Linked DNA regions of Caenorhabditis elegans. The protein of the gene in region 2 purifies or fractionates together with the protein of the main gene of each other region. This does not show direct contact. Each region holds a gene or a part of one and is shown on either strand. Other genes may lie near its edges.

The links.
Region 1: the proteins of ZK1320.5 (region 2) and nduf-11 fractionate together in Caenorhabditis elegans (co-fractionation; one large-scale study listed by BioGRID). This does not show direct contact.
Region 3: the proteins of ZK1320.5 (region 2) and C18H7.4 fractionate together in Caenorhabditis elegans (co-fractionation; one large-scale study listed by BioGRID). This does not show direct contact.

The regions. Positions count from the first base shown.
Region 1 is NC_003280.10:11,342,455-11,348,302, forward strand, and holds nduf-11 (Complex I-B14.7), read right to left. Parts: upstream 3,167-5,848; 5' UTR 3,162-3,166; coding exon 3,079-3,161; intron 2,999-3,078; coding exon 2,878-2,998; intron 2,828-2,877; coding exon 2,611-2,827; intron 2,552-2,610; coding exon 2,414-2,551; intron 2,357-2,413; coding exon 2,129-2,356; intron 1,611-2,128; coding exon 1,414-1,610; 3' UTR 1,267-1,413; downstream 1-1,266. Other genes in the region: lgc-20 (Neurotransmitter-gated ion-channel ligand-binding domain-containing protein), read right to left, coding at 1-15, 977-1,076; B0491.6 (DNA helicase), read right to left, coding at 3,600-3,667, 3,719-3,847, 3,899-3,973, 4,021-4,293, 4,345-5,268, 5,311-5,341.
Region 2 is NC_003280.10:9,662,272-9,668,246, forward strand, and holds ZK1320.5 (uncharacterized protein), read right to left. Parts: upstream 3,407-5,975; 5' UTR 3,394-3,406; coding exon 3,210-3,393; intron 2,718-3,209; coding exon 2,533-2,717; intron 2,472-2,532; coding exon 2,274-2,471; intron 2,130-2,273; coding exon 2,049-2,129; intron 1,997-2,048; coding exon 1,882-1,996; intron 1,827-1,881; coding exon 1,345-1,826; 3' UTR 1,275-1,344; downstream 1-1,274. Other genes in the region: cyp-13A10 (Putative cytochrome P450 CYP13A10), read right to left, coding at 9-476, 520-569; ZK1320.11 (BTB domain-containing protein), read left to right, coding at 5,353-5,465, 5,522-5,660, 5,706-5,965.
Region 3 is NC_003282.8:590,937-596,446, reverse strand, and holds C18H7.4 (Tyrosine-protein kinase), read right to left. Parts: upstream 3,119-5,510; 5' UTR 3,053-3,118; intron 3,007-3,052; 5' UTR 2,971-3,006; coding exon 2,948-2,970; intron 2,789-2,947; coding exon 2,096-2,788; intron 1,967-2,095; exon of another isoform or gene 1,817-1,966; intron 1,784-1,816; coding exon 1,516-1,783; intron 1,469-1,515; coding exon 1,280-1,468; 3' UTR 1,211-1,279; downstream 1-1,210. Other genes in the region: C18H7.7 (TransThyretin-Related family domain), read left to right, coding at 146-291, 371-686; C18H7.6 (Aa_trans domain-containing protein), read left to right, coding at 4,001-4,107, 4,345-4,437, 4,953-5,046, 5,095-5,510.

The DNA.
Region 1 (5,848 bases), 1.7 Mb from region 2:
AGTGCTCATCTCCTCCTAAAACAAAGATTTGGGTTATGCTGTGAGACCACCCAAAAAAATTTTCCAGGTGCCCGCGAAAAGAGAAACTCGGCCACGCACGTTCTAATTAGAATGACATGCAAAAGCGGCCCTTGGCCCCTGGCCCGAGTTACTGTAATTTGTTTTCAGCGTGGCGAGACCCAAAAATATGGAAAAAATGATCATCTTCCGACGTCTGCGTAATATAAAGATCAACATATCAACTTTTAGCCGTCAAAACTAATGAGTCAAAGCGCTCAGTCATGCGTAAACAGAAAATGATCGTGATCTCCAAATAAATTTGAAATGTAATTCCTTGGTTCGATGGAAGCTTGCCCAAAAGTACGGTTGAGGGTCTCGAAACGAACGATTTTCAAAAATTCTAAGAAATGTGCACCTTTAAAGAATACCGAAGTTCTTCATTGTTTTCTTGTGTTATTCATGGGTTAAAAAAAAAGTCATGTATTTTATTTCAGTTTTTCAATTAATTGTAAGAAAACTATACGGTACCCGGTCTTGACACGGCAAATTTGTGTTAATTGAGAAAAGGTGCGCGCCTTTAAAGAGTACTGTAACTTCAAACTCTTGCTACTGCCGGATTTTTCATAGATTTTCTCTAGATTTTGAAATTTATTTAATAAAAAAGTGCATTTTTAAGTATCGAAATTCTATCAAAAGTCGATTAATATTGCGCAGAAACGAAAGTTTGAAACTACAGTACTACAGTACTCTTTGAAGGCGCACACCTTTTCTGCATTTAACACAAATTTGTCGTGATGAGACCGGGTATCGTATTTTTGCGATAATAATCGCTAAATTTCGCAGTTTTCAAAATGCAAAAAAAGAAAAGAATTCGCAAATTTTTTTAATTTGAATTTTCACTTCCGAGAGTTACGTGGGCAACGTTATTCCTTCCAAAACCATTAAAAAAAAAGTATTTCGGAATTTCCAAACTCACCATCTGCTCGATTTGTCAAATTCTTCGTGTACCTGCATTGAACCATCTGCTCAGAAGTCTGAATGAGAAGAAGTGCTCCAAAGAGCACAAGAAACGACATTTTTGACCAGCAAGAGGGAATAAGTTATGCGAGTTTGTATGTATGTGTGCTGCTACGCGTATCCCTTCTTAAGAACCGCCCGCTTCTTGTTGTTACCAGGACAACGGAGCGGGGTGGGGAGCCAGCGTGTGAAACAATCGATTCGTTGTGTTGTTGTTCCCCCGGTGTCTCGACTCACAGACACTATTTTCATGCTATGACCGCTGATTTTATTCGGAAAAGAGCAGAAAAGAAGAAAAAAAAAATTAAAGTTTGAGTGCTATATGCTTCTTTCTCGAAAACTAAAAATCTTATACATGATTGTAGAATCGAAGCTAGAAAAAATTCAAAAATCCAATCAGTATCGTGTGGTCGGAACATCGGCATTTCCAAGTTGCATCTTCTGCCAAAGAAGTGGTCCTCCCCAGATTCCGGCAGATTGTGGATGAGCAGTCATTCCTTGGAGTCCAGTCTCCGAGTGTCGTTGATACTGCCAGAATGCTCCGAGGATGGCGGTGAAGATGGCGGCAGTGGTTCCAAGGGCAACGTTGCTCTCTGGAAAAATAGTGGTTTTGAAACGAAAAATTAAATTTTTCAGGAATTAACCAGGACAATCAGATTTTGATTTTGTGTCTAGATTTTTTATTTGTTAAAAAATAAAAATGTACAAGTTTTGCCAGATTTACAGAGAATTTTGTTAAATTTTAAAAATAAATATTCATATTTTAAGCCGAATTTTTATTATTTTCAGACTAATTTTTATTAAAATATTTCGAACAAAATATTTTTTCGGACAGAATCAGAACTAATTGATTATGAGATACAATGATAATGTGGCTGCTACCATGAAAGATAATTTTTTGAATTGATTTTTTTCTATTTTGGAAAATTACGAAAATATATTAGTTTCTGTTTTAAATTTTTTCCATGTGATTTTCTTCGAATTTAACAGAAAATCTGATGAAAACACATAAGAAATCATTTAAATAGAATTAAAATTTTTTTCTACGCTCTGAAAACCACGTTTTTTGATCATTTCGCCAAATTGGCTTACAATTTTTAACAAAACATACTCATGGTAGCCACGGTTGATCCAACAGCAACACTAGCGAACCAATGATTATGGACATCATCCTTATGACGGATCGATGAGGCTGCTGAAAGACTGAAGCCCCAGGCGAATGCAACGGCCAATGGGAATGGAGCGAGTTGGAGGTATCTCTTCATATAGGTTCTTGGCGAGAATTCGGATACCGAGACTGTATTGAGTGCACGGATTTCCAGCATAGTGTATGGAGCCACTGAAATTATGTTTTATGATTATCGTGAACATTTTTTAAATCTTAATCTAGTCTTACACAAAATTCCAGCATACTTGGCGGCGGCAAGTCCTTTCCAGAAAGATCCCTCATTGAGTGGACTGTCGAAGAAACGGGGTCCGGCAGGATACCAAGAGTTTGGCAACACGGCGTTTCTGCCTAACTCGTCCTTTGGAGCTGGAAATAAAAAAGTTTTGTAGCAGGATACTTATAATAAAATTTTAATTATTCCTCACTTAGCATATTATCGCTCAAGGTTGGACTAACGGATAGTCCTGGATGCTCTTTGCTGATTCCAAACTTTTCAGCGATAGCCTTAAACTGGTGGGATCCTTCGTAAACTTTGTTCTGGAATTCGGACAGCTCTCCTGGCTGATCTCCTTTTTTGGTGAGATTTTTGGTCTTCTTGGAATCGAGTCCGAAAGGTCCGGCCAGGGATTCTCCGTCTTTTACCTGAAAACGCAAAAAATTAGCGAATATCACTCAAAATAAATTAACTGTACCTTTGGATCATACCAATCTGGATCTTCCTCACGGAAACGAGCACGATAAAGACGAAGTTTTCCAGAACGCGTGACAGAGTCTTCAAGTCCTGGCTCCTTCCACCAGTCGGCACGTCCCTTGCTGAATTACAAATTTTACCATTTTAAAATATTTTATTGAATTAGATTTAATTTCAAAAGTAGAAAAAGAATAAAGCTTACTATTCACGATCACTCCAAAGACCGATCCATGGAGGTCTCTGCGTTTTATACGTGGCGGTCAATGGTTCTTCTCCGTGGCCCATTTTACCTGAAAATCGATTGATAAATAACAATAAAAAATTGTTCATAGATACTTTCAAAAAATTCCAAAGAAGATAAGCCAAAAATATGTATTCAAATGCGGATAAAATAAACAAAAACAGAAAAAAATACACTGAAAAATTAATCGGCCGAGACGGGAAACGCGCAAGGAATGAGAAACGCGCCAACAATCATATGTTAGCGCATACTTCGTCCTTGCGCGGATTTTCAAAAACGATTTATTTGTAATTTCTTTTTGCATTTAATTTTGCGGTTTTTGCTTTTTGAAAGCTCTTAGAGTTTATAATTTTGTATTAACTATAAGTAAAAAGATTATAAAATATTTATTCGGATTAAAATAAATTTTATCTAACAAATTATTTTTCAAAGAACATTTCCTGAGATGCGAACAAAAAGTTGATTAATATTAAACAAAGAAATCACAAGGCGACATCTTCCTGGTGCTTGAACTGTGACATGACGTCTGCTGAATGCTTCTCTTTTTGAGCTGAAAAATCGATAATTTGTTAAATGTATTATTACAAAAATGTTATATTACCTAGCCTCCACTTTCGAAGATACGCAGCTCTCCGCAATCTTCTCTCTTCTTCAGTTTCTCCTTTTGTATCAATATTCGATTTTATATAAGGTCTTACTGGTGTGGTTCTAGCCGCGCACGCTTTTCGCTCTGAAATGTACGAAATTGGGATAAAATGTGAAAATTTATTTTAGAAATCACCTCTTTTCGGTGGTACATGCGTTTTCCTGTATTCTTGCCAAAATTTTCGTTTTTCTTGAAGAGAAGTGTCATTTTCTGAAATAACTAACAATCATATAAGTTCCATAAATTAATTGCAAAACCTCGTTGAAGCTCATAATGCTCTAGTCTTCCAAATGCTTTACGCAGAAATTTTCCGAATTCCTTAGTTTGAACGAATGGCAAATGATTTTTTTCTCGAAATAATGTATAGAATCGACGCAGTTCCTGAAGCTCATCAACATTCCATTCCTTTTCTGGATCGTCCATAGCTATACTGAACTTTGACATCAGCATTGATAAATGCTCCCGCTCGATTTCGCACGGCGGAACGTCCAGGCGAGTTGGTTTGGGAATGAATTGCTTCTTTGAGTGAACTGAAAATAAAGAATTTTGTTTGAATAAAAACTTTTACAATATTCACTTACATTCTTTGAAAACTTCCGTGAATATATTATTGATAGCGGACCGAAATTCTTTCTCTTTCTCGTATTTCATTCTTGGATTCAAAGTAGAGAATGAGAAATTGTCGGGAGAAGCCTTGCAGCTTCCACCTGGTACGTCTTCTGTTTGATTAGCAGGATCTTCACTACCGACACCCATGAAATTAGAAAAATCGATAGCTGATTCCTCCGATGAAGCTTTATTTTCGCTCAGTCCTTGGAAAACTTTTCCGTACGCTTTTGAATAAAATTTCTGAAGATTCAGCTTGTCATCGGCCCCTAATGCTCCACTGCGCCAGCTTCTACAGTATGAAGTGAATTCGGCTTTCTCCTCGGCAGTCCATTCTCGGGGACCGTGAACTCTGTTTGCGGTATTTAGAAGTCGTTCAACATCTTTCGAAACTTGATCATCAAACATCTGCGTTCTCTCCTTCTCGAGCTTCTTGTGGAGATTATTGAATTGAGTGTCAGCATCAGATCCTTGTAGAAGAAAGAAATCCGAACAATCCACGTCGAACTTGGTACGTGGCGAAAAACCAGCTCGTAGATCATTTTGATGGAATCTTTTCGCACTAGATTCAATTGGAACCGGATTGAGAGTGAGCAAGGAAGCTAGCGTAGCTGATGAAGTCGTGGTAGGTTGAGCATCCTCTATCGGAGCTTCTTTTCGTTTATATTTTCGTTTTGGTGGAGCCTGTGGATTCGTGTAGGCCATTGCTTGATCGAACATTTTGAGAGCATTTTGTAGAATTTCGGTTCCAACATCTGCTCCAGACGAAAATTGTCCAATGATAGCTTCTCCTATATTGCCAATATGATCCAAGGGATCAGTGTCCTCTGCTGCAGAAGCTTCCTTCTGAATCAAATGGTCGAGAAGGCTTGCTGATGTGCAAGGAATATCATCTGAAACTAATAATAATTATTTTAAAATATAATTTGAATTGTTCTTACGTTTTTCATTCGATTCGTCGGGTTTTTGCATCTCGTAACAATTGCAATCGGTGGTTTAAAATTTTCGTTTTTGAATTCAAAAGAGTGAGGAAGACAACAAATTAATGCGAAAAAGTTGTTTTGAAAGAAGTTTTGGAAAACGAAAAATGAAGTCGAATGTGGCGCAAAAATCGAAACGAACATGAGAGATAGTGCTAAAATTACTAGAGTCGCAGATTATATTCACGAGAAAGAGCACGCGGGACAAAGAGACAGAGACGAAATAACGAAAGCGGCCAGAAAATTCTCTGCGTCTCCGGGGCAAGGAAGCATTCTTTTATTGGACTTTTGATGATTTTGAAATTTGTCTCTGCGTCTTGTTGCAAAATTGGGAATAACAAGAAAACGCATGACTTGTTTGTCTAGAATAGGATTACATGTAATATGCAGCGCGTTTTTAGACCCGTTTTACTCGATTCTTGCTAATTTTTTCCGGGAAAACATAATGAAGATTAACAAATAATTCTTTCAAAACATATAAGATTAGTAAAAAATGAAT
Region 2 (5,975 bases):
AAACTCACTGTAACATATCAATTTGTTGTCCCTCCGAAGTTTGTTCTTCAATATGTCTCAATAATTCCATCGCACTGTCTTCCACAGTTACATTGATTTTTCTCAAACTGTTATTCGAAAAAGTAGGACTAGATATAGCTCTGAGCCTTTTCCATCTAAATCCTTGAGCCGAGAACAAGTTAGTTCTCTCGTCTTTTTCCGGATCACCTTGAATTGGATTCAGTTTTCTACCATAGAAGTTGTCATACTGCTCAACAAAAATTTGACGAACAATGTCGATATCAGAAACAATTAGAGTTTTAATGGTTCCTTCAGTGTATCCATATATTGGACCATAAAGTTTTGTCCAATCTCTGATTTGTAAGTATTGAGGATATTCTGATTTGAGAGTTTTTGGAAAACTTCCAACTAATGGATAACCTAGAGGTCCAGGGATACCACGCCGTCTCCAATATGTCCATATCCAGAGGTAGTAACTTAAATAAATATATTTAGCTTTGAGAAATAAATAAAAAATACCTGATAAAACCAATGAACAAAGTTGGAATAGCAAGTAAAATAACACTCATTTAGTTGTATTTTCTTGTAAACGAAGTCTGTATATTTTAAACAAATATTTCCAAAAATAAAATTTGTTTTTATATTTACAAGAAATCGGACACAAAAACGGCAACTATCTGACACACTTTTTGTGTCTCCGTCTCGACGATTTTGTGACTCCTTGCGCAGAATCAGTGAGTAATTGGATTACAATGATGATATCAAGACCACTAACTCTAGTCTATCCTGTAGCCAGTTTCTGGAGTTTGGTCTGCAGATTTGAAGAAATCACCGATTAACTTAATTTAGTTTAGCAACTCTGGAAGTAACATTGCCAGGCATTTTTGTGGGCAAGGCTTTGTGTCATATTGCGCAAGAAAGTCAAATCTAGTGGAAACCAGAAAAAATCAAGTATTTTTGATAAAATAACAAGCACATCTTACAATAAGTCAGCAAATTTTCAAACGTACTTTCATATGTATATAAAAATGTGGTTGAAATGACTAGATATTAATGTATTCCTAACCCGAAAGTTTTACCTAACCCTGCTGTTGATATTTAACACAAATTGTGCTCTGATCTGTTTCAATTATTTGATTAACTTTGCTATTTTGTTATGATAGATGGCCAATAACCAACTTTTTGTTATTCATTCACGAGATCTAGTCAGACATTTATATAGACATGTCTCACTATCATATGGTACAGGAATGTATAGACAGGAAAAACTTAAACTCAAAAAGATAACATTTATTAGAATTGCCGATGAACGAATAATTAAAATACATAGTATCTATATGTTGATCACCCAACAGATCCCATCGATGGTACCGAACTTTTAGGCCTCGTGTGGAACATCATCATACCCGAAGCTCCACCACTGCCCATTGAAGCTGTACTTTGCTTAGCTAGACTTCCGGAAGACGTAATTGAATTAGGATCTTTGGATATAGAAGCCATTCGACCTCCACTGGGAGGTCTTGGAGCACCTCCTCCGCCCATTCCCATCATTGCGAGGCTTGCAGCACCAGCGCCACCCTGAGAGGTATCCACGTCACTGAGAATTCCGATCATTTTCAAGTTGGCAATGATGGATTCTTGTGATTCTCGTGTTGCAATGACCTTGACTTTGGACTCTTTATGCAGATTTCTGGCTTTTCGACAGAGAATGAAGTTTCCGAAATAGTCGATTCGGAGATTTTTGTTGTTAGCGATTAGTGATAATGGGTAAACAATTGGAAGAAAGCATCGAGCATTGATGTACATCATATCAAGCGTGGAATCTTCTGAAAGAAGTTTAGTTTTCAGACTATTCTGATCTTTATTTCATATTAAACTCACCTAGATTTATAAATCTCTTGACAATTACATGCAAGATGAAGTCGGCCAAACAAGCGATGTACAGCATGATGTAGGAATTTTTGAAAAACGTCATTTGTCCACTGAGATTTTGGATCTAAAATTGATGTCAAATGTAAAACTAGAATATAAATCCTCAAAAAACTCACTTTCTGGTCATTTCTCATTCCACCGAGTAGGCAGGCACGAGTGTGAGAACCTTTTGCCGATTTGAACATGAGAACCGAGATCTGAAATTCAAAATAATAATTATAATATGTTTATTTAAGTTTTGTTGAAATTGCGTCACATGCGTGAGACTTTTTCTAAGGGAACTAAACATAGGATTTTTATTTTCTGTTGAATATATAAACTAGCCAAAACAGGATACTTACTATAATACATGGCAAAAACAATATTCCGTGATAGAAGTCGTAGTATACATTCGCGATGAGTGAACTTTTGATTGAAATTTCATCATTTGAAGATTGAAGAACTTCAAGTCCAGCAGCTTCTTTGAGTTGATCATCACTATTCAAATAGATTCCTCGAATAATCATCTCCATAATTACGGAGACCACTACTTCGATGACCTATAAAAGGTATTTAGTATTTGTATTTAATATTTATTGTAATAAAAATATTGATACCCACCCGGAAAACTGCCACATATCGAAACTTGGGACTTTCTCGAATCGTTGGACTCCGATTGTACGTTATCCGTTCAACAGTTGTCCAAAACACAGTGAGTGCTGGAATAGCACGGCTGACTGATAGAGTTGTCGAGAAGAAGGCTTCGGATTTTGTCGTGCGATTCACGTTGGCACCCCACATTGCAGCTGGAAAGGTTTATTTTAGAAAAATAATCAGAAATATTAGTTTCAAGGTTTAAAGATCAAAATATATCCGTATTATCATCAAAATTGTGAAATGCACATAGCAAACAAGTGTGCATACATATAATTGTGTACCTACGACAAGTGCGTGACCAACTCGGCGTTGTGAGCCAGCTTCTTGTCTTACTAGATAGGTTTTGCCAAAAAATATTAACACGGCTTTATCTTTGGCAAAATTTTGACAAAAGTTGAGGTTAGTAAAGGACACGTCTCAAGTATAATCTAACTTTTGCCAAACCTCGGACTACATTGGCAAGAGTTGGATCTAACTTGGACTAATTGCATTACACTTCCTGAACTTGCCAAAGTTTTGATACAAGTGAAGATTTTTTGGGCTAAAGTTTGACAAAAAGATATCGTTTACAGTTATACTCGAGCAAGAAATCCCATTTCTGTAGGCAAGTGGGTCTTCATTTTGTGCCTATATAAACTCACCAGCGGCCACAACATTTGAACAAGCCAGCACAATATGAGCAACGGACAAAAACCGTAAATTATTTCCGGTAAACTTTGGATAGACCGTAGATCGATGTGTGGCTCTGAGGTAGCACAGATTGAGGTAAACTCCGACAACCGAAAGGATCAGACACGAGGTAAAAAACACAATTTCAAGAACCATGGCGCCTGGAATGCTGATTAAATGAAAGAAAAATATGCAGAAGTGAGAAGAAAAGAAAGGAAAAAATAATTGAATTTGGAGGGGGAGGATATGTGTGTCTTTGTAACATAGAGAAACCTAAATTAAAACCTCTCAAAAATCACCTGCCTAGTTTTATATAATAGTTTTCTATTCACAGACTACTTTTTTTAGTTATATAAACTGTGTATGATAGGTATATTGAGAGTAGAAGAAGGAATTTGATGTGGGCCCAAAAATGAAGAAAAACATGAAAACAATCAAGTCCCACAGGAAATCGAGTTGGCGATACGTAGATTGTTATTTATTAGCGTTATGTTCTCTGAATATAATGAGATGTATAACAAGAAGGTATATACATAGATAAATCGATGCACATTGATGAGCACTATTTTAGGGAACTTTTAAATGAGAATATGCTGTGTCGAAGTTTTTTCTCGGAAATTTATACAGAAATATAAAGAAATAATAGTTACTTTTTATCAAAAATTTCAAAAATTTGGCCAAAATCTACTATTAAAATCGCTATGTGCCTATAGCACCTTAGAGTCAGCTTTTGAGCCGCTTTTTTAAATCTATTAATAAGAAGTGAGATATCTTTATAAAGCACAAATAAATAGTTTTATATATTTCTGTATAAATTTCCAGAATAAAACTTCGACACAACGATGAGACTTATGAGATTTTGTAAATATTGCCATTTCGTCTGGCTCAAAGGTTCAAAAAGGTGGGCTCGAGTCTAGAATTCAAGGATTATACAAAAATGGAGAAACTTTCTCTAGTTGATATAAGAACAACTCTTTGATTCACTCGTCATTTCCCCGTCTATCGACAGTGAAGGCTAATCGAAAGTGATTGTAGGCAGGTGTAAAAGTGCTGATTTACTTTGGTTGCCATGCTCACATGGAGACACGGAACCTTGGGTCAGATTGTTCAACTCAAGAATAAAACAATGCAAGAATTGAAACATCTGATGGTCAAAAAGTGATAATGGGTGGTTTGATATATACATGCATGGGAGGGTGACTGCTGCATAGACAAAACTATGTGTGAGATTTGAGCGTGTTGTCAAGCCCGTGCTTCTCTGCGTTTCTTTCAAGTTGCTCTCAAGGGCACAGAGCGGTAATTGGTTAGATGCGAAGTAAGAATAGACAGACGAGCCTGCCTAATGACGACGTAAAAATGAAGAGCTGTGAAAAAATGTGAGTAATGGATGAGGTTTTCTGACAGAACTAGCAAGCCGAATCAATTTGGCAGATGCTATAAGGAAAGGATATACCATGTGATAAAAGTTACAGTTGTCAAAGCAGATGACCCTAATCTAAATCTATCAGCAGGAAGGTAGGCAGACCTTCCCCTTTCCTAAGTCTCATTTGTCTTTCTTACGCCATAAGCTTTTGCATACGTCTATTCATGTGATTTTCTGGCTCACTATCAGTGTAGACTTATATTTAAAAAGAATGTTCTTGTTCAATTTGGTAGTAGGTAGGTGGTATAGGTGGATGCATAGGTATGCATTTTGGTGATTTGTCAAAGATCTGTGCGCCTTTAGGGAAAACGATATGTCGAGTGTGAGTAATTCAATGACATAATTAAACGTTTCATTATTATGTTTTATCAAACATCAAAAATCTTATTAAGAACTCCTGTCAACCGGAAGTCTAAGCTCGCCGAGCAGGTGGTACACGTGAAGAAAAATGTCTGAAAATCGTGTTTCTGAAATAGCATTAAAGTCTATAATTTGTTCTCGGTTTTGGATTTTACACATTTTCAGGTTCTCGATTAATTAGAGTCACAGTTTTTTCAGATTCCTACAGCTGCAGGAATGTGTTTCACCAGATGTGTCGAGAGACTGTGACTGGGTGAGATACGCAGAGTTATTCCGAGAGGAGTGCACATACGACACTCTGTAATAACACTAGCACTCCTTGTTTATCGTAAATGCTCATTGATTTATTTAATGCGAATTTTTCGAAAATAGTGCTTTCTTTTTCTATTTGTCCGTTTTATATTAAATATTTATCAATTATAATATTAATCATGTCAAAGAAAAGGCACGTTTCATGAGTCAGTTTTAAAATTTGATAATATCATAATTTCCATTTTTCAGAGTTCCGCAGACATGTCGAAAAAAAATGATTGTTGTTGATGGAATTGAAATCATGATTCCCAATGATAAATTAGACGAAGTGGTCAGCATCTTCAAGAGCGGCGTACATATAGACGACTTAGAAGGTTGGCAGACCGAGGTAATTTTTTCTTAATTAATTCCCTCACAAAAGTTTCAATTATAGGCTGCTCACGAGGAAGAAAACTTCGAAAAATTCATCACGGAGGCGAGGGAGTTTTCAAACATGAGCCCACCAGACATTGATCAATTTGAAATAAAAGCGCGGGGAGCTGCTTCGATCTGCGTGGTGGAGTTCTTTTTGAAGCACTTTGGAATTCTTATCAAATCGAACAAAGCAAAGAGCAGTTTGATGGAGGTCATTTGTTTCGGACTGAGCAGCAAGCAGGCGGTTCAGGTTATAGATATCTGGATGAAAGCAGAAAAGTAAGTCTAC
Region 3 (5,510 bases), on a different chromosome or scaffold from region 2:
ACAGGATGAACGTGCAAGTGCGGATTTATTGATTTTCCAATCATTCTTCAAGTTTGCAGTCACGTGGTTGCAGTCTTCCGTTCTTCTTTTTTGGGTAATTTTTGCTCAATTTTCAGCCTAAAAATTCAATTCGATTTTCAGACAAATGCTTCGTGGAATTACCCTTCTCTTCTTCTCCATCGGCCTTTCTTGTGCCTGGGATCATTTTCAATTCGATATCACCGTGTTCTGCGAGCTGAATAATATTCAGGATTATAACTTGAAAATCGAATGGGTCGAGGTGGATAGTCTGTGAGTTTTTTGAAAAATTGTTTGAAACTTGCATGATATTGCCCTTCAGAAAATCCATATTCAACAAATAAATTTTCAGTAACGGCCAAGACCAGCTCTCCCAACCGAAGATTCTCATTCTGGGACCCGGCCGACAAAGCTTCTCCCAAGACGGAGCCTTGAACGGCGATGAGATGTTCTCGGCTGGATATAAGCCCAGAGCTCTTATAAGTCATGATTGTACTAGTGATCGGAAACCAGTGGATCTTCAATTGACTGTGAAACGTCTCTGTGAAATTGGACATCTGTGCCACTACCGTATCATCACCGATCTCACCAATCACTGGGGAAAAGAAGACATTGAGCCAGCGAACTTTATTCATGACAATATTGATCAATTTTCTGATTTCCCATAGATTCCCCATAGTTTATTGATAATAAAATTGCTTATTTGCTTTGCGTTGAATGTGTCTACCAACGTGCCTGCCTACTTGCCTACCTACGGCCTAGGCAATAACTCCGATGTATGTTGTCTTACGAACTATGCAGTTGATGGTTTCAAATTGTAGGCACTTGGTTTTGTATTCAAGGTGGCCTGCGCCTACCTTGAGCCTGCGTAGTTAACGCGGACAGTAGGTACGAGGGCAGGCGTTCCTCAAACATGCCTGGAATTTATATCAATACTGCACTAAAAATGCCGAATGTAAAACAAAAAGCCACGTAGACCCTCCTATATGGCCTCACAAAATCCTGCCTGCATGCTGCCTTCATGGTCGCCTACGCCTTCATTGCGGCTACCTGCTTGCCTTTTTGTTTATAAGCTTTCAGCTCAAACTGCCCCAGCATCAAATACAGGAATTAATGTGAAACTGTATATAAAAGACGTTAGGTAGTCATTTAGGCGCAAGGCGTATATGCCTACTTGTGCCTAAAAATTAAGTTTAGATCGAACTATTTTATTCAAAGACTCATAGTGCTCTCAAACGGCAGCAGACTTCTCCGAGCTCTTCTAACAACCCTGCAGCAGACTCGGTTCTCCGGCTTCATACTTCTGATTCAGATCCTCCAGCTTCTCCTTGAGTTTCTCAGCGTTCGGTCTCTTCTCCGGATCGTGGTTCCAGCACTCGGCAAGCAGAGATGCCACGTCTTTCGGCATGCCCTCCGGCGGTTGCATCCGGTAGCCACCTCGAACTTTTTGCTGAAAGAAGATAAAATGATAATGATTTTTTTTTGAAAGCTTAGTACCTTAACAGTATATCCTTTCCATTCGGTGTAGGGGGATTGGTATGGGGTGATGAAGAACTCCCAAATCATGACACCAAACGCGTAGACATCTGTGTTGTAGCGAGTCTCTCCGTTGGTCCAGACCTCCGGAGCTAGCCAGCGAACGTTCAGAGGTTTCGAAAGGTCGACTTTGTAGACGGCTGTAGCGCGACACATTCCAAAATCCGCCATCTTCACTACACCATTATGGATGAGGCAATTGCGGGAGGCGATGTCCCGGTGGATACAGCTGAAATTTGAGAATTTAAATTGATTTGTCTACTTGCCTATATGCCTACATGCCTGCACGCCTACACGCCTACATTCCAAGATTTAGGAGTTTTAGCTTGGAAACCTAAATTGATGACATGAAATGTCTACATGCCTACATGCATACCTGCCTACGTGCCTACATGGCTACATGCCTGCATTGCTACATGGCTACATGCCTACATGCCTACATGCCTACACGCCTTCATGCCTACATGCCTACATGCCTACATGCCTACATGCCTACATGCCTTCATGCCTACGCATTAATCCTAAAAGTCCAAAAACCCACTTTTTCTTATGCAGATAATCCATTCCACAAGCCGCCATATAAGTGTATTGAACTCTTCGATTGATTTTAATCTCTGGCTTGTCCCTCAACAAATCTTCCACTGATCCTCCATTACAAAACTCCAGAACCAAAAGATATGGAACATCATCCAGAATGTACCCATAAAACTTTACAATATTCGGATGATCGTACAGCTGCATGACTCTTGCTTCCTTCATCATATCCGTCAGACCTTCCTCGTCTGTTCCTTCCGTATCCAGCTTTTTCACAGCGACAATTGCATTGGTCTTAACAAGACGTCCTCTATAAACTGTCCCGTATGCTCCTGACCCGATTTGCTTCTTGAAGTTCACATCGGTATGCATCAGCTGGAACTTTCCCTTCGCAATCGCCCGCTTCAAAATCACCTTTTCCCCTTTTATCTCGATTGTTTCGGCCTTCAGTGAGTCAATCAGCTTTCCGATGTTTGAAGCACTCCGATTCCCAAGTTTTGCAGAGTTTTGATTCCTTTTTATCTCATATCGACGGATACCCTTCTTCAAACGGACCGCCAAGTGAAATTGAAGCTTGTTGAGATCCGCCACAATTCGAGTGGTCACCATGAAATCTCCATCGTTGACTAGAAGCTGGTCGGCGTCTATATTCATAAGCGCTCCGTGGAAGTACGGCAGGGTTCGGTCCTCATCGGCGATTCTGGAAATGAAGACTAGATTATAGATATTTGGCTGGAAATCACCCGGTCGAGGCGTGACTGAGGCGCCTATTAATCGCTTCTTATGCCTACATGCCTACATGCCTACATGCCTACATGCCTACATGCCTACATGCCCTACATGAATATTTCAAACTCACTTTTCTCTGTTTGCAGGAGCCATGTTGAACTCTTGATAATTGTTTACACGAGAACTGTTCTGAAAATCAAAATGATTCAGATAAAAATTGGAAAAATAAACTAACCTTTTGTATTTCCTCCCGAGAACTAGAAAAGACGTTTCTCGGCTAATGAATATTGAAAACTGATTTGAAAATTTTCAAATCGATTTGATTTTTTTTTCCGATAGCCCCCCCCCCCCCCGTGTTAGGTTTTCACGTTTTTGATTAAAATGTATTTATTTATTTATTTACGATTTAGTTATCTTGAATTTAAATTTAAAATTTTTATTTTTATAAAAACTTTCACGAAATTTTTGCGAAAACTTCCAGGAAAGTTTGGTGATTTATTACAATTTTTGTTTTGAATAAAAAATTCCAAGAAATTACTGAAAAACAGGCATTGAATCACGGGTTCTTTTTGGAATTGCAATTCTGAAATTGCACAAAACAAACAAAACGAATTTTTTAGCTTTCAGTCTGAGAAGCCTTTTTTAAAAAAGTATTTTTGCTTTCAACTTGTTCTAATTGACTCCTGCTGCGAGAAACTCGATCTTCACTGCGTAGACATGTAGGAATGTAGGCATGTAGGCATGTAGGCATGTAGGCTCCCTTATGCGCGATCATTCGGTTTAAATGTACTTCTGACTTGAGAACAAAACGATAAAAAACCAATTATAGAGTAATTATATTTGGAATACATACACCCTATAATTCATTTTTTTTTATTTTTCTTACTGGATAATTCCATTTTTCCTTATTCGCTACTTTCCCTGAAACTTCAAACGATTTTTTTCCTGCCCACAGAAACACATTTCATGTCATGTGAAATTTCAAATGTGATCAGTTCACGCCACAGTATCCCCTGCCAATTTCTAATTTGTTTTAGCGAGAAAACGAGCAGGTGAACGTAAAATTCACCTGCAAAATTGAGAAAAAAATTAAAAAAGCACCTGGTTTCAACAAGACCGATTGGTGAGGTTGACAACTCCGTCATTTCTACTTTTTTCGTCAGAGAGTCAACCTGAAGAAAAAATGGATCTCAGCAGCCTCGGAAGCTTGAAAGGAATTGGAGGTGGCGGAGGTGCTGGAGGACTCGGAGGAGGTCATGGAGGAGGTCATGGTCAAGCTGGTGGAGGAGGGTAAGTCACTGATTTTTTAAAAAAATATGTACATAGTTCATTGTTACGTACAGAAATTTCAAAAAGTTATAAAAATAATTTGAGCCGTATTGCCCTGACTTTTAGAAAATTCTGATTCTAGCTACGCCCGTGTGTAGCTAGAATCACTAGAAATTACAGGAAAATCTAGGCCGAATAAAAAGCGGGTTTCACCAAGAGTAGTAAAATCTAATTTTTTTAAATTCGTTCATTTTCCAGACAGATTTCGGCCAAGGAGCTTCAGGATTCGCTGAAATTGATAAACAGTTTTTCGAATTTGATGAAGAAAGCTAAAAATAAAGATACTGAAGGGTTAGTCAAGTTTTTTTTCTGAAACAGGTCTACGGTAATCGGTTGCCGAACCAATTACAAAATAACCACCTGTCATACTTAAAATTTTGATTTTTTCTTAAAGCAGATTTGATCTCTTAATTTTAAAAAATACCCCTACAGTCTCCTCACGGCATCTCTACAGTACCCCTACAATACCGCTACAGTACTGCAACTGCAGTACCCCTACAGTACCCCAATCGTATCCCTATTGTAGCTCAACCTTAACCCTTTTGTACCCCTACATTATTCCTCTGCAGTATTCCAGTAGCACCCAACGGCAGTACTTCTACAGTACCTCTACAGTACCCTAACCATATCTCTACTGTACTACTATAGTACCCTCTCCGTATCCCTAAAGTACCCCTAACGATTTTCACTATGCCCCTACAATAGCCCAACAACAGCCTTACAACGCCCCTACAGTACCCCTACCGTAGTCCTACAGTACCCCTACCGTACTCAAAACCAAAAACCGCTTTAAAATGTAATTTCAGAGCAAAAGACGCGTGGGCCAACATAGCCGGAGACCTAGTAAGACTGAACCCAAACGCAACCAATGAGGATTCTCTTCAAATCAAGAAATTGGTGGTTAGTTTCTTCATGATTATTGGGCCAATTCCGAGTGCAATTTTGCAGAAAGAACAACTCAACGAGGATCATAACGCGACAGATTTTCAAAACCATACCGACATTCTTACGGATATGTTGCAGAAGCACACTGGCACTTTTCTCAAAGACAATGATAATTCGACTGATTCTAGCATCAGCAACAGCACATCCCGTTGGGGTTCATGGGGATCCCACCGAAATCGTACACTTCCGGACCTTGACGATATGTCAACTGGACTAGACTTATCAGATCTGAGTGAGCTTCTTGACACACGTGAACCGGGTGATTTGAATGAAAGCTACACGCACAGTATTCCGTTAATAATTGCCTCAAGTCTTATCATGGTCTCGTTTTTCTACTACATTCCCCGGATGGTCTACTTCAGGCTAGCCCACGTACAGAAGGATTGCAAGCACGCATGGTTCTTCCCGATTTTGTATTT